Linked DNA regions of Sus scrofa. The protein of the gene in region 1 interacts with the protein of each later gene in a pairwise test. Links are inferred from orthologs where the notes say so. Each region holds a gene or a part of one and is shown on either strand. Other genes may lie near its edges.

The links.
Region 2: the proteins of ZHX1 (region 1) and ZMYND11 interact in a two-hybrid assay, tested with the Homo sapiens proteins (2 studies listed by BioGRID and IntAct). The link is inferred for Sus scrofa from reciprocal best matches to the Homo sapiens genes ZHX1 and ZMYND11.

The regions. Positions count from the first base shown.
Region 1 is NC_010446.5:16,120,624-16,126,255, forward strand, and holds part of ZHX1 (zinc fingers and homeoboxes protein 1), read left to right. Parts: coding exon 1-1,328; 3' UTR 1,329-1,331; intron 1,332-4,161; exon of another isoform or gene 4,162-5,632. UniProt on the Homo sapiens protein: Acts as a transcriptional repressor. Increases DNMT3B-mediated repressive transcriptional activity when DNMT3B is tethered to DNA. May link molecule between DNMT3B and other co-repressor proteins.
Region 2 is NC_010452.4:69,291,334-69,297,553, reverse strand, and holds the start of ZMYND11 (zinc finger MYND domain-containing protein 11), read left to right. Parts: upstream 1-2,137; 5' UTR 2,138-2,359; exon of another isoform or gene 2,360-2,460; intron 2,461-2,525; exon of another isoform or gene 2,526-2,738; intron 2,739-6,220. UniProt on the Homo sapiens protein: Chromatin reader that specifically recognizes and binds histone H3.3 trimethylated at 'Lys-36' (H3.3K36me3) and regulates RNA polymerase II elongation. Does not bind other histone H3 subtypes (H3.1 or H3.2).

The DNA.
Region 1 (5,632 bases):
AGGTGCCTGCTGCCCAGGCTGGTGCAGAAACCAAACCAGCAACAGCAGCAGTCCCGTCTTCTCAGCTTGTCAAACACGAAACCACATTGGCAAACCCTGACTCATTTGGCATTCGGGCAAAAAAGACTAAAGAGCAACTGGCAGAATTAAAAGTCAGCTACCTGAAGAATCAGTTTCCCCACGATTCCGAAATTATCAGACTTATGAAAATCACAGGCCTGACTAAAGGAGAGATTAAAAAATGGTTCAGCGACACAAGGTACAACCAGAGAAATTCAAAGAGTAATCAGTGCTTACATCTCAACAATGATTCCTCGGCCACTATTATTATAGACTCCAGTGATGAAACCACGGAATCCCCAACTGTTGCGTCACAGCAGAAACAATCCTGGAATCCTTTTCCCGACTTCACTCCCCAAAAGTTTAAAGAGAAGACGGCAGAGCAGCTCCGTGCCCTTCAGGCGAGTTTTCTCAACAGCTCTGTGCTTACCGATGAGGAATTAAATAGGTTAAGAGCGCAAACCAAACTCACCAGAAGGGAAATTGATGCTTGGTTTACAGAGAAGAAGAAATCAAAAGCTTTAAAGGAAGAGAAAGTGGAAATAGAGGAAAGCAATGCAGGTAGTTCCAAAGAAGAAGGTGGAGAAACTTCTCCCGGAGATGAGGCTAGTGCACCGAAGTCAGGGACTACGGGCAAGATATGTAAAAAAACCCCCGAGCAGTTGCACATGCTTAAAAGCGCATTCGTCCGAACCCAGTGGCCGTCGCCAGAAGAGTATGACAAGTTGGCCGAAGAAAGCGGCCTTGCTAGAACAGACATAGTCAGCTGGTTTGGGGACACCCGTTATGCTTGGAAAAACGGAAACCTGAAATGGTACTACTACTATCAAAGCGCCAACTCCAGCATGAACGGTCTGTCCTCTCTGAGGAAAAGAGGGAGAGGGAGACCCAAAGGAAGGGGAAGAGGAAGACCTCGCGGGCGGCCCAGAGGAAGCAAGAGGATGAACAGCTGGGACAGGGGGCCGTCGCTTATCAAATTTAAAACTGGAACTGCAATACTTAAGGACTATTACCTGAAGCACAAATTCCTAAACGAGCAAGACCTCGATGAACTCGTGAACAAATCACACATGGGCTACGAGCAGGTCCGAGAATGGTTTGCCGAAAGACAGAGAAGATCAGAGTTAGGAATAGAATTATTTGAGGAAAACGAGGAGGAAGAGGAAGTTATCGACGATCAGGAAGAGGATGAAGAAGAAACGGACGATAGTGACACTTGGGAACCCCCACGACATGTGAAACGAAAGCTTTCTAAGTCGGATGACTGAAATGTAAGTTTTTAATCTGAGTGTATATTCACCAGCCACATCTGTTTAGACCAGTCACCTTGTACCTGTCATCTTCGCTTTTGACAGTTTTTGTTCTCAGGTAGTTTTCTCTCATACTAATAAGAGGACTGGGTGCCGGGAGTATAGCCGAGAGATAGGTGATTATCGTGTGTAGTCTGATTTTTATGATGATTATGTTTATTGTAAAGAGTTTCATGTTGCCTTAATGGTTTTTTGTTTGTTTTACTTTTTAGGGCTGCACCTGCGGCATATGGAGGTTCCCAGGCTAGGGGTCGAATCAGAGCTGCAGCTGCTGGTCTACACCACAGCCACAGCAAGGCCAGATCCAAGCCACGCCTGTAACCTGCACCACCGCTCACGGCTACACTTGATCCTTAAACCCACTGAGCGAGGCCAAGGATCGAAACCGCCTCCTCATGGATCCTAGTTGGGTTCGTTAACTGCTGAGCCACAAAGGGAACTCCAATTATTTATTTCCTATGTGAAATATTACTTTGTTTTAAAGGAAAGTTACCCATTTTCTAAGAAGGAAGACTGGTGGGCGGGTTGGGGATTCACAAATACTAAAGATAACTAAAATGTATTTCTTGCAACCCTCCTTCATTAAAGCTGTTTAAGGAAAGAATTCAAAAGAGAGAACTAAAGAGAAGGGGAAAAGTATACTCAAGGAAAGACTTAGCACAGGGATGAGGACTGCTCAGTTTTAGGCAACTAGGTGCCAATGGGTATCTTTTTTTATTCATTGTATTCCCCCCTACACTATTAGATTTTTAACTAGAGTTTAAAATGCTTTATATATTAAAATTATTCAATAGTTTTTCTATTAAAAGCCAAAGGTCTGTTTTAAGCTATATATAAGTTCATGTTTGCTTAGGTGGCATCTGTTTTTGAAAACTGTGATATAAATTTTTTCTGTTTTAGAGATCAATGGTAAATAACAGATTTGACATTAAATTAACTCAATTGCCTAAAATGTCTTTTCATTATTTGATATAAAACAAACCTGCTACCAGCAGAAACATAACAGCATTCAGTTAAAAATATCTCTCTGTAGGCAAAAAAGTGTAAGTAAATATGCTTTAGATTTGAAAGGTTTGGCATGTTCTTTTATAGATTGGGTTAATTAAAATTTCCCTCTAGTTGCACATCAGATACCTGATTTGGAATTAGAACTTCAGTTCCTAATGCTTTGGGAACTCAGTAGCATAGTTCTCTTCTACTCTCTGTTTTGGAGTGTTCTAGGATAAGACAATACTTTTTTAAAAACAGTGCAGTTGTCATGAAGTGTTTGTATCTGTCCATCGTCAGTAGCATCTTGTCAGAAATCCCTGCTGTGTTCTCGAAGAGCAGGGGAGGAAATGAGGCCTAGCCCCTCCTCACGTGAGCATATTTACATGTCACCATAGCTTTTTGCTTCCTTATGCCATCCTCTACTTTTATGCTCTTTTATTCTGCACAGAATTTCCTTAATCCCCCCACACACACGCCTTTCTCCAGGATTTTATTTATTTTAACAATTATTTCTAGAGAGCTTAATATGCACCAGGCACTATTCTTATTGCTTAGCAGGTTTTTTTCCAGGTTTTCTTTTCATTAACAGTTTTGGTTTTTTTCAGGCAGAAAAACAAATGAAACTAAAAATGCATCTATTTTAGAATGGCTCTCATTCCAGGTTGTAGAGCATAATGTATCGTTGTGAGTGAGTCACAAGAGGTTAAACAGTACTGTACGCTTTGTTCTGAAATGCAACCCTCCATTTTGTTACGTCAGAAATTTTCAGGACAAGCTTTCTTCTAACCTAGATGCAGAAAATATTTTTAACAGGCATTTCTATTTTACTGCTAAATGTGAGAATGTGCACTCAGCCAAGATTAAATCAACAAATTTGTTGCTGCAGTGAATTGTTGTTGTAGTAACCTCTGCAGTAATTTTGGAGGGAGTTGCAATCTTATTCTAAAAATAACATGAACTTTTTTGTAGAGCTTAGTTTGACCTTATTTGTAGTTTGTGTGGATAGTTCTTAAGTTATATATTAATATGCTGATGGAGACTATGGTCAGAAAATTCATACAAAGCCATGGTTTCCAAAAAATTGTATCATATAAGTTATACATGCACGTTGTGATACATAAATTGCTGTGCTCTGCTTTTAAAATATGCTAAAGTCTAAAATTATAAAACCCATTAATTAGAAAGTTATTGTTGGCCTAACAAAATAATTTTTAATCTTATAAAAGGATTCACCATTAAATGGTTTAATTTACCAAAAAAAACCAAAAACCTTTTCAGTGTATTTACTCCAAAAAGTGATATACATAGGGAGTTCCCTGGTGGTTTAGTGGTTAAGACTCAGCGCTTGCACTGCTGCAGCCTGAGTCTGGGAACTAAGATCTCACATCAAGCTGCCACACAGATAGCAAAAAAAAAAAAAAAAAAAAGTGATATATCTATATAGCACAAGCTAGTCCTGTATATAATAGAAGATACAAGAGTTTTTAGATTTCATAGTCTGTTTATTACAGATACAATGAAATGTATATTTCCTACTATGAATTTTTTATAAATTATTACATGAAAAATGTCCATAAGCAAATCTAGTGTATGCAGAACCTACACATTGGAGTAGCACACAGAGTCTAATGCAGTGTATAAGACACACGTGGCAAGTGGTCTCAGGATTCATGTGTGAATGTAGAGGATGCCTAATATAAATTTCATGGCTAATTTATATCATTTTTTCCCTAACAGTGGTAAATGTTTAAATATGGTTATCTTTTAAATTTTAGTTTTTTGTTATGTTTTTCTTTTATAGCTTCCTAAAACGTTGGAGGAGAACAAATTCTTCAATTCCAGATGTCTGATTTACTGTGAATGGGCCCAATCTTTGATGACACTGAAAACGTTTTGGGGCATACACAATCTCAAAAATAGCATCCAATACCCAAAAGAAATGGAACTCAATGTTGTGCCAAAGTTAAACTACTGCAGATGGCAGAAGTCCTGCATTGTACATAGAACACTAATTAAAAAACAACTTGTAAAAATTCAAATTTTAATACAGTACATTTTTATTCTGATATGATGGAGACATTCTGATTCTTAGACTTTCTGAGGGGGTTTAATGACCACTAGAGCTTGTCCTCATATTTTGTTCAGCTTAATACTGTATGTCTCATAAGATGGGCCTTATTGCCTGTATTCTTTGATATGTGATTAATCTTATAGCTTTGAGTGACCAAACATTTTACAGACTAAAAATTCTTAGAAACAGGAAAAAGTGAAATCTGATTTATCTCTACGTCTCATTTATCAGGCCCTGCACTAAGATTAAGAGCTGTGCATGGGTTTATACAGAAAAAACAGCCTGTTGACCTATTGAAGCAAGAAGATTTTGTGGTATCATTGGCGTTTAAAGATTGATCTTTCATGGAACACATTCGTAGATACCACTCTTACTACTTGTAATACTCTGTTACTTTTTTTCATTAGAAACTGAATTAGCTTTTATTAAACTGAACATAATCAGTACTGAAGAAGGGAAAGAAACTGGCATAAGCATTTGGATAGGGTGAAACTCTGAAATAAATATCGTACCAAAAATGTGAAAAGGAATCATATCGTAAATATTTACTTAGTGTTTTCTTACAATCGTGTGGAAATCAGAAATGTTTGTGCAGGTGTCAGATCAGAATTTTCAAGAATTCTCTTTTGGTGACGTTCTACTTTGTATAACAATTTCAGCGAATAACGAAAAAAAAATTCTGAGCTGATCACAATGAGTTAAAACGTAGCTTTTCTCTTATGAATGATGGGAGTATTAACTGTTAACTCTTGCCATATATCAGGAGACTGAAAGTTCCTACTCACAAACTTTGTAAAGACCGGTGCTGTTCATTCATGTTGAGAAGGACCCTTTCTTTTGTGACTCTAGGACCATTTTTCAAAATGTGCTTTCTTCATAGAAGAAATGTTCAGTTTCATTAGCTTTGAATTTCAAAATGTTTTTCTGAATGACAAGATGTAGTGGGCTTGGCCAGTTTATTTTATCTAATTTAATGAATACTAAATATTAAGCTCTTGTTTTTACCTAAACGTTTGTCGGCTAATGAAAATGTTATGAAAAAGCCTTGACTATGCATGCTGCTTTCATTTTTATAAACTTTTTATTTTTTAACTATAGCTTTATTAGTAATTCCGAAATGCTGCAATTTAGCTGGTTTCTTCACTCAGACAGCTGGCTTTGTGGGTGGCTTTTTCATACTACTGTTAACTTTTTTTAAGAG
Region 2 (6,220 bases), on another chromosome or scaffold:
TAGAAAAAGGGATATATATTCCTGAGTTCCCGTAAATGAAAAGCACAAGGTCTCATTGAAATTTTTTTATTCCCATTTTATTTCACGAGTTTACATTACTTATTACAACACAACATAATTTCTATTCACTAATTTCTGTATAATGTGCTGCATTCCTGATGGTTTTTCACTTAAAGTTTCACTTAAAATTATGTTCTTAAACAAAGTGTATATACAATACTCAATGTTTATGTAATTCACCCTTTAACGCAAAGCAGAAACATAAAACATGTTATTTAAAAGCAAAACTAAAGGTAAAGGCAAAATAAAGAAATTAAATCAATGCCTTTCAGGAGCACATGCACAAGCTTACTGCTACATACTTGCAACCCAGGAACACTGAGATGTAAATTTAGCAGGAGACTCCCAACTCTACAGAGCTGTGAAGTCACCCTCTCTAAGCCGGTGCTAAAAACATATGAATTGGTCCTCATTATGAAAAGAAAGTGGAGGAAAGGGTATTAAAAAGAAGCTCCTTATAAAAGTTGTAACCCTAATGGGCATATTTTAAAATACATCTACATCTGTTTTTGACATATAGGATTCAAACACTTTTATACAGTCAAATTTATCACTTTCCTTTTCTGATAAAATCATTGCTTTAGAGCTTAGGATAGTTTTCTCCACACTAATCTTACAAATATCCACCTATATTTTCTTCTACCTTTAGAAAAATGATTTTCAGTTGCTACAATGTATTACTTAAGTGATTTCGATTATTTTAAACTGTGGGGTATAAATTAAGGATATGATTTGATTAATTTCTTTTAAAGAGACAAAAATTCCACATTAATTTGCTGAATAACACATGACTTCTCTATGTACATAATATTTCTTAAAGCAGAATCTGGAAAAATGATAGCCTGATCCAGTCCAACATTACCACTGGTGAGAGTCAGCTGGGGGTAGGGAAGGGTCAGAAGTGCTGGGTGGGGTCCTTCTTGGGGTGGTGCTAGGTCTCCGAAACAGGGCCAAGGGAAGTAAACCATCCCTCAGAGCCCACTACTCTTCCCTTTCCCTCTTTCCCTCCACGACTCAGTTCCTTGCTCTCTCTTTGCATGTTGGTGGATAAATTCATGGTGTAACCTAGGATGTATGGCAAGAAGTGCTTGGTCTTCTGGGCTTCCTCCCAACTCCCAATCCCAAACCAGGAGCCCCCAGACCACTTCCCTTGCCTATTATTCACTCGGCTGAGGGGAAAATGAGGTAAACAAAACTGTTTTGAAGGGGAAATAGAGCCAAAGGTTAAATTGTAGGCAAAACCAAGGTAGAATGAGAAATAAAATCTGGGTACAGAAATTAAAATGGTGCCTAAAAAAATTTAGAGAAAAATGTGGAGTTACACAGTGACTTCTTTCCTAAAATGTCTTCCTTGAGTGGCCTCAGGGAAACACATGCTGATCTCTATTTTACAGATGTCTTTTAAACAAGATGATTTACTTAAAGCTATTCATTGGTTAGAATTCCCGGTCCAGCATTCAAACCAGGCATGGCTCGATTTTTTTCTGACATTTTTTTAACCCGTCTGCCAGTGTTTAAAGGCATGTATTTATCCATACAGTTAAAATGAGTTAAACTGATTTTGTGATGCTCCTTGAGGTAACCAAAACCCCCTCTGGGGTGTATGAGGACCAGGGCTCTGAAAGACTGCTTCCTCCGCTGGTGTGCGTCATGGAACTCCTAGTCAAGTACGACCCATTTCTAAAGTCTTAGTCTTACAGCCCGGCCATGAAAGATTGATGAATCGGATTTAAATCCCCAGATTTCTTGGACAAGTGTCTTTCAGTGATTTTCAGGTATATACATGTCCAAATGGAGTCAGGGTAAGAAATTTTGGCGCAGAGGTGTTTCTTCCAAACTCCTCCTGGAGAAAGGTCATTAGGGAAAATACGTGAAATCTATAAAATATGCTTCTCTCTGAGCCTGTCTTATTTCACATATTGGGATCTTCTCTGGTTAGATCCACAATCACAAACTAAAAAAGACAACCTCCTTCTCCTTAAACAATTGGTGGTGTTTTTGCTAAAGTGATAATGGGTGGTCCGGTTCTTGTGGAAGGCGTAAGTGTGGAATGCAGCATATTCCCGCAGTTCGTTTTCATGACAGAATTAAAAGGGTATGAACACCATTTTACCGATCTTGCCCATTAAAAGCTAACGCTTCTCCAAGACTTTGCCATTCCGACGGCGACTCCAGGCAGGCACCACGCACACGAAATCAGGCGTCGGCCGGGCAGCGCCCGCAGCTGCGGGTCCGAGCTGACGATGCTGCGGGCGCCGGATCTTTGTGCGCTCCGCTCCCGGCTCCCGCGTGCCCGCACGTACGTAGCCTTCACGTGTGTGTGGATATGAAGTGCATGTGTGGATCTGTACGAATATGCTCCAGTTTGGGGAGAGGCGCGGAGCACAGGACGGAGGGAAGGTGGGTGTGGGCGTGCGCGGCGGGCCGGGCCGGGAGGGAGCCCGCGCCGAGCCCGAGCCCGAACCCGCTGCGCGGCCCGCCGGCCCGCCACACAATAAAGCCCGGGGGCGGCGGCGGCGGCGGCGGCGGCGAGGAGGCCGGGCCGGCGAGCGGCCGCCCCGCTCGACCCGCCATGTGAGCGGCGCCGCGGCCTGGCAGGACGCAAACTTTCCCCGCGGCGGGCGGCGGCGCCCCAACTCCGCGCCCGGCCCCGGCCCGCCGCTCGGCGAGGCGACACCGTAAGTGCGGCGGCGGGGCCTCCGCGCTTCCCTCGCCGGGCGCTCGCGACTTTCTGCGGCGAAGGCTGTCAACATGGCGCCCCCGAGGCGCCGCGCCGGGGCGGGCGGCGGGGAGGAGGCCCGGGCCGCGGAGCCGGAGGCGGGGAGGCCGGGCCGCGAGCCGGAGGCGGCGGGGAGGCCGGGCCGCGGAGCCTGGGGGCGGCGGGGAGGCCGGGCGCGCGGAGGCGGGAAGGCCGGGAGACGGCGGCCCCCCGCACCCGCCGGCCCAGGCTCGGAGGAGGCGGCCGCGGCGGGAAGGAGGCGGCGCGGGCGGCGGGCCGGGCGCGGAGGGGGAGGGCCGGGCGCGGCGGCGGCGGCGGCGGCGAGGACCGGAGCATAATGGTGGGAGAAGCTCGGCCGCGGCGGCGGGGCGGGGGCGCGGGCAGGGGCGTCCGAGGCGGGGGCGCGGCGGCTTTGTGGAGTCCGGGCCCGGCTGCTGCCTCTCGGGCCGCGGGCGTGACCGCCGCTCGCCCTCCGCGGGCAGCGCGGAGTGGACGGTGGAGCTTTGTCTGCGATGGGCCGGGGCCTGCGGGGCTGCGGGGGTCTCCTGCGCCCTCGCTCTTGGCCGCCCGGCGGGGGAGGCCCCGCAGGAGGCGGAGGCCCTCGGGAGGAGGACTGCGCGGGGCCTGCTCGGCCGCGAAGCCGGGAGTCGCGTGAGCTCCGGCCGCCGGGCCGGCCCTCCCCGCGCGGCCAGGCCTTCGGGCCCGGAGTCAGGGTCGGGGTCCGCCGGGACGCGGCCCTGTGAGTGTGGGGGCGGGGAGGCGCCTGCCGTGGCGGCTCGTTGTTCCGAGCGGTGGCCGCGGCTGGGCAGTGTGGTCCCCAAGGGCCCAGGCCAGACGCGGTCCCCGTGGCTGGGGACGGACAGTAGCGAGGCCTCTGCCTCCTCAGCAGTTCCTCCTGGGACCCCGCAGGACCGCCTGCGTGTCCGGCGTCCGGAGGGGAGCAGTTAAGCTGGGGCCCAGCAGGCGGGCTTGGGACCCTGACTTCCCAGTGGACTGCCCTCTTACGCCTTTCTGACCCAGCTGTGCAGGCGCTCGTGGTGTGTCCGTGGTGCCCCGTGTTAGGTACAGTGGGGGCGTGATACCAGGTGTGTCCGCAGGGCTCCCTGTTACATGCCTTTGGGCACGGTGCCTGGTGTGCGCCCAGTGTTAGGTGCTATGTGTCCGAGGTGCGCAGTGCGCACCTGGTGTGTGGCTGGGGGATGATACCTCGTGTGCCGGTGGTGCCGAATGTGTGCCTGGTATAGGGGTATGATACCTGCTGTTGGCATGGTGCCTAGTGTCACGAATACTCTGTGCACCTTACGTGCTTGTCTAAAGTGCCTGAACGTTGAAGGGGCCCCTTGGTTCAGATTTTTAGAAATCCGTAGCGCTCCCCCAGGTTTAGGTCCTGACTCCTCTAGTTTGTCTCACCCAGGTATTGTGTATCCTACAGAAAGCCGTGTCATGTGGAGGCAAGAGACTGCTTAAAAATAATTTAGTCTGTTTAAAGGCAGGAAGTGAAATGTTTACCTGTTTTAAGTCGAGAAATGTAGTAGCTGGAGCTCAGTAACTGTGTGATATATAACCTTTTCAGGTTTTTGGGTCATTGATTCTAATTAATGGTTTGAAGTTATCAGGGAGATAGTCTTGGTTGTACTTCAAAAGTTAGAGTGCTTTCCGGTAAGCAGGGTCACATGAATTCTAATTTGTGTAAGCAGGAGATAAAATGTGAATTTTGCACAGGCAGGTTATTTTCCTTGTCTTTGGCATTGATTACTGTCTTTATTTTGGCGAACTCTTTATAAGCGGGCCAGGTTAGAGAATCAAAGGTCAGAGACTATGGGATGCAACAGTAGCAGAATCAATGATAATACTTGCCTTGCTTAAAACTCTATACATGTTTAATAGAGGTTCTCAGTTCTTTGCGAGGTAATTTCCCCCATAGATGTTGTTCATATGAAAATGCAATCTCTTTTACATTTTGTGATTGGGCAATTTATTTTTGCAGTTACCTTTTGCCAAGTAGTTAAACATACATGTCAGTGTTTCCAGCTTTACTTAAAAAATCAGTTAAAATGTTAAAATTGGCTCAGCGGGTTAAGAACCATCATTATCTCTGTGAAGATTCAGGTTCGATCCCTGGCCTTGCTCACAAGATGCTGTATAGGTCCAAGATGTGGCTTGGACCAGTGTGCAGTGGCTGTGGTGTAGGCCTGCAGCTACAGCTTTGATTTGACCCCTAGCCCAGGAATTTACATATGCCACAGGTGCAGCCGTTTAAAAAAAAATGGTTATCTCCTTAGATCATATGAAATATTAACGCGATATCATTAAGTTGATACTTCGAGTGGATCTTTCCATGAATTCACCTGTGTTTATTTGAATTCTCACCCTTTTGTAACCATACTCCCATTTCCTCTAAGGGTTGTTCAGATAGTGTATACTGGAGACATTCATACCCTTTGGCATCCCTAAATTGAGACACTAATTGAAGCTCATTAAGAATTGTAATATTTGTAATAAAGTATCAAATGCTGTTCTACTAGTGTAAAGCCCTAAACCCTGGGTGTCAGATTTTGTTTACCTACTTCTGCCATCCTTCAGTTGAATTCTCCATAGAAAGCAACATTTAAGCAAAGAGGCTGTGTCTGGAAAAAGTGGTAAGGAGAAAAGTCAGACCCGAGAAAGTCACTGTTTGAAAACCTTCACTTGAACTTAACATTGAATTTTTTTACAGTGGGATTAGATTTTTGTAATTGAGTTAGAGGTAGCTTGACAACTTGAGTTTGAGGTCAGGTGGCTTGAGTCAGAATCTCACCTTTGTCATTTACTAGCAGAGTGACCTTGGGCAGACTGTTTAAACCTGTCATCCCTGATCTCAGTTTCCCCACATGGAAAACAAGGATGAGAGTAATTGCACCTACTTCGCAGGGTTGTTGACGTATAAGCTACTGTGAGACTTCGGTTGAGTCAAATTCAGTTTGGGTTATTAAACTAGCATGGAGAGGAGTGAAGCTCTGAAGTTACAGTGTGGCATGGCCTGCCTTGTCTTACTAGTTGGTATTTGACCATCATATCATGCTTCTGAATCTCTTTTTCTCACTAGGTATCTCAGAAGGTTAGAAAACTAGCATTTGTTGTATTCCTCATGGTTCATTTACCTGAAGCAATTTTAAGGCTTTTTTTATCATTACTTTTAAAAATCATGGCTAAATATTCATAGCATAAAGTTTACCAGTTTTAAGGGTACAGTTTAGTTATTAAACTATTAGATACATCCATCCACTCTGTTGTGCAACCACCACTACCACCCACCGCCATAAGCTCTTTTTGCTTTGTAAAACTGAAGCTCTGTACCAGTTACACCCTAACTCCCCAGTTCCTTCTCCCCAGCCTCTGGCAAATGCTTGTTGTTACCTCTTTGTCTTTGAGGAATAATATAAGTCTCTGAAGTACACAGTG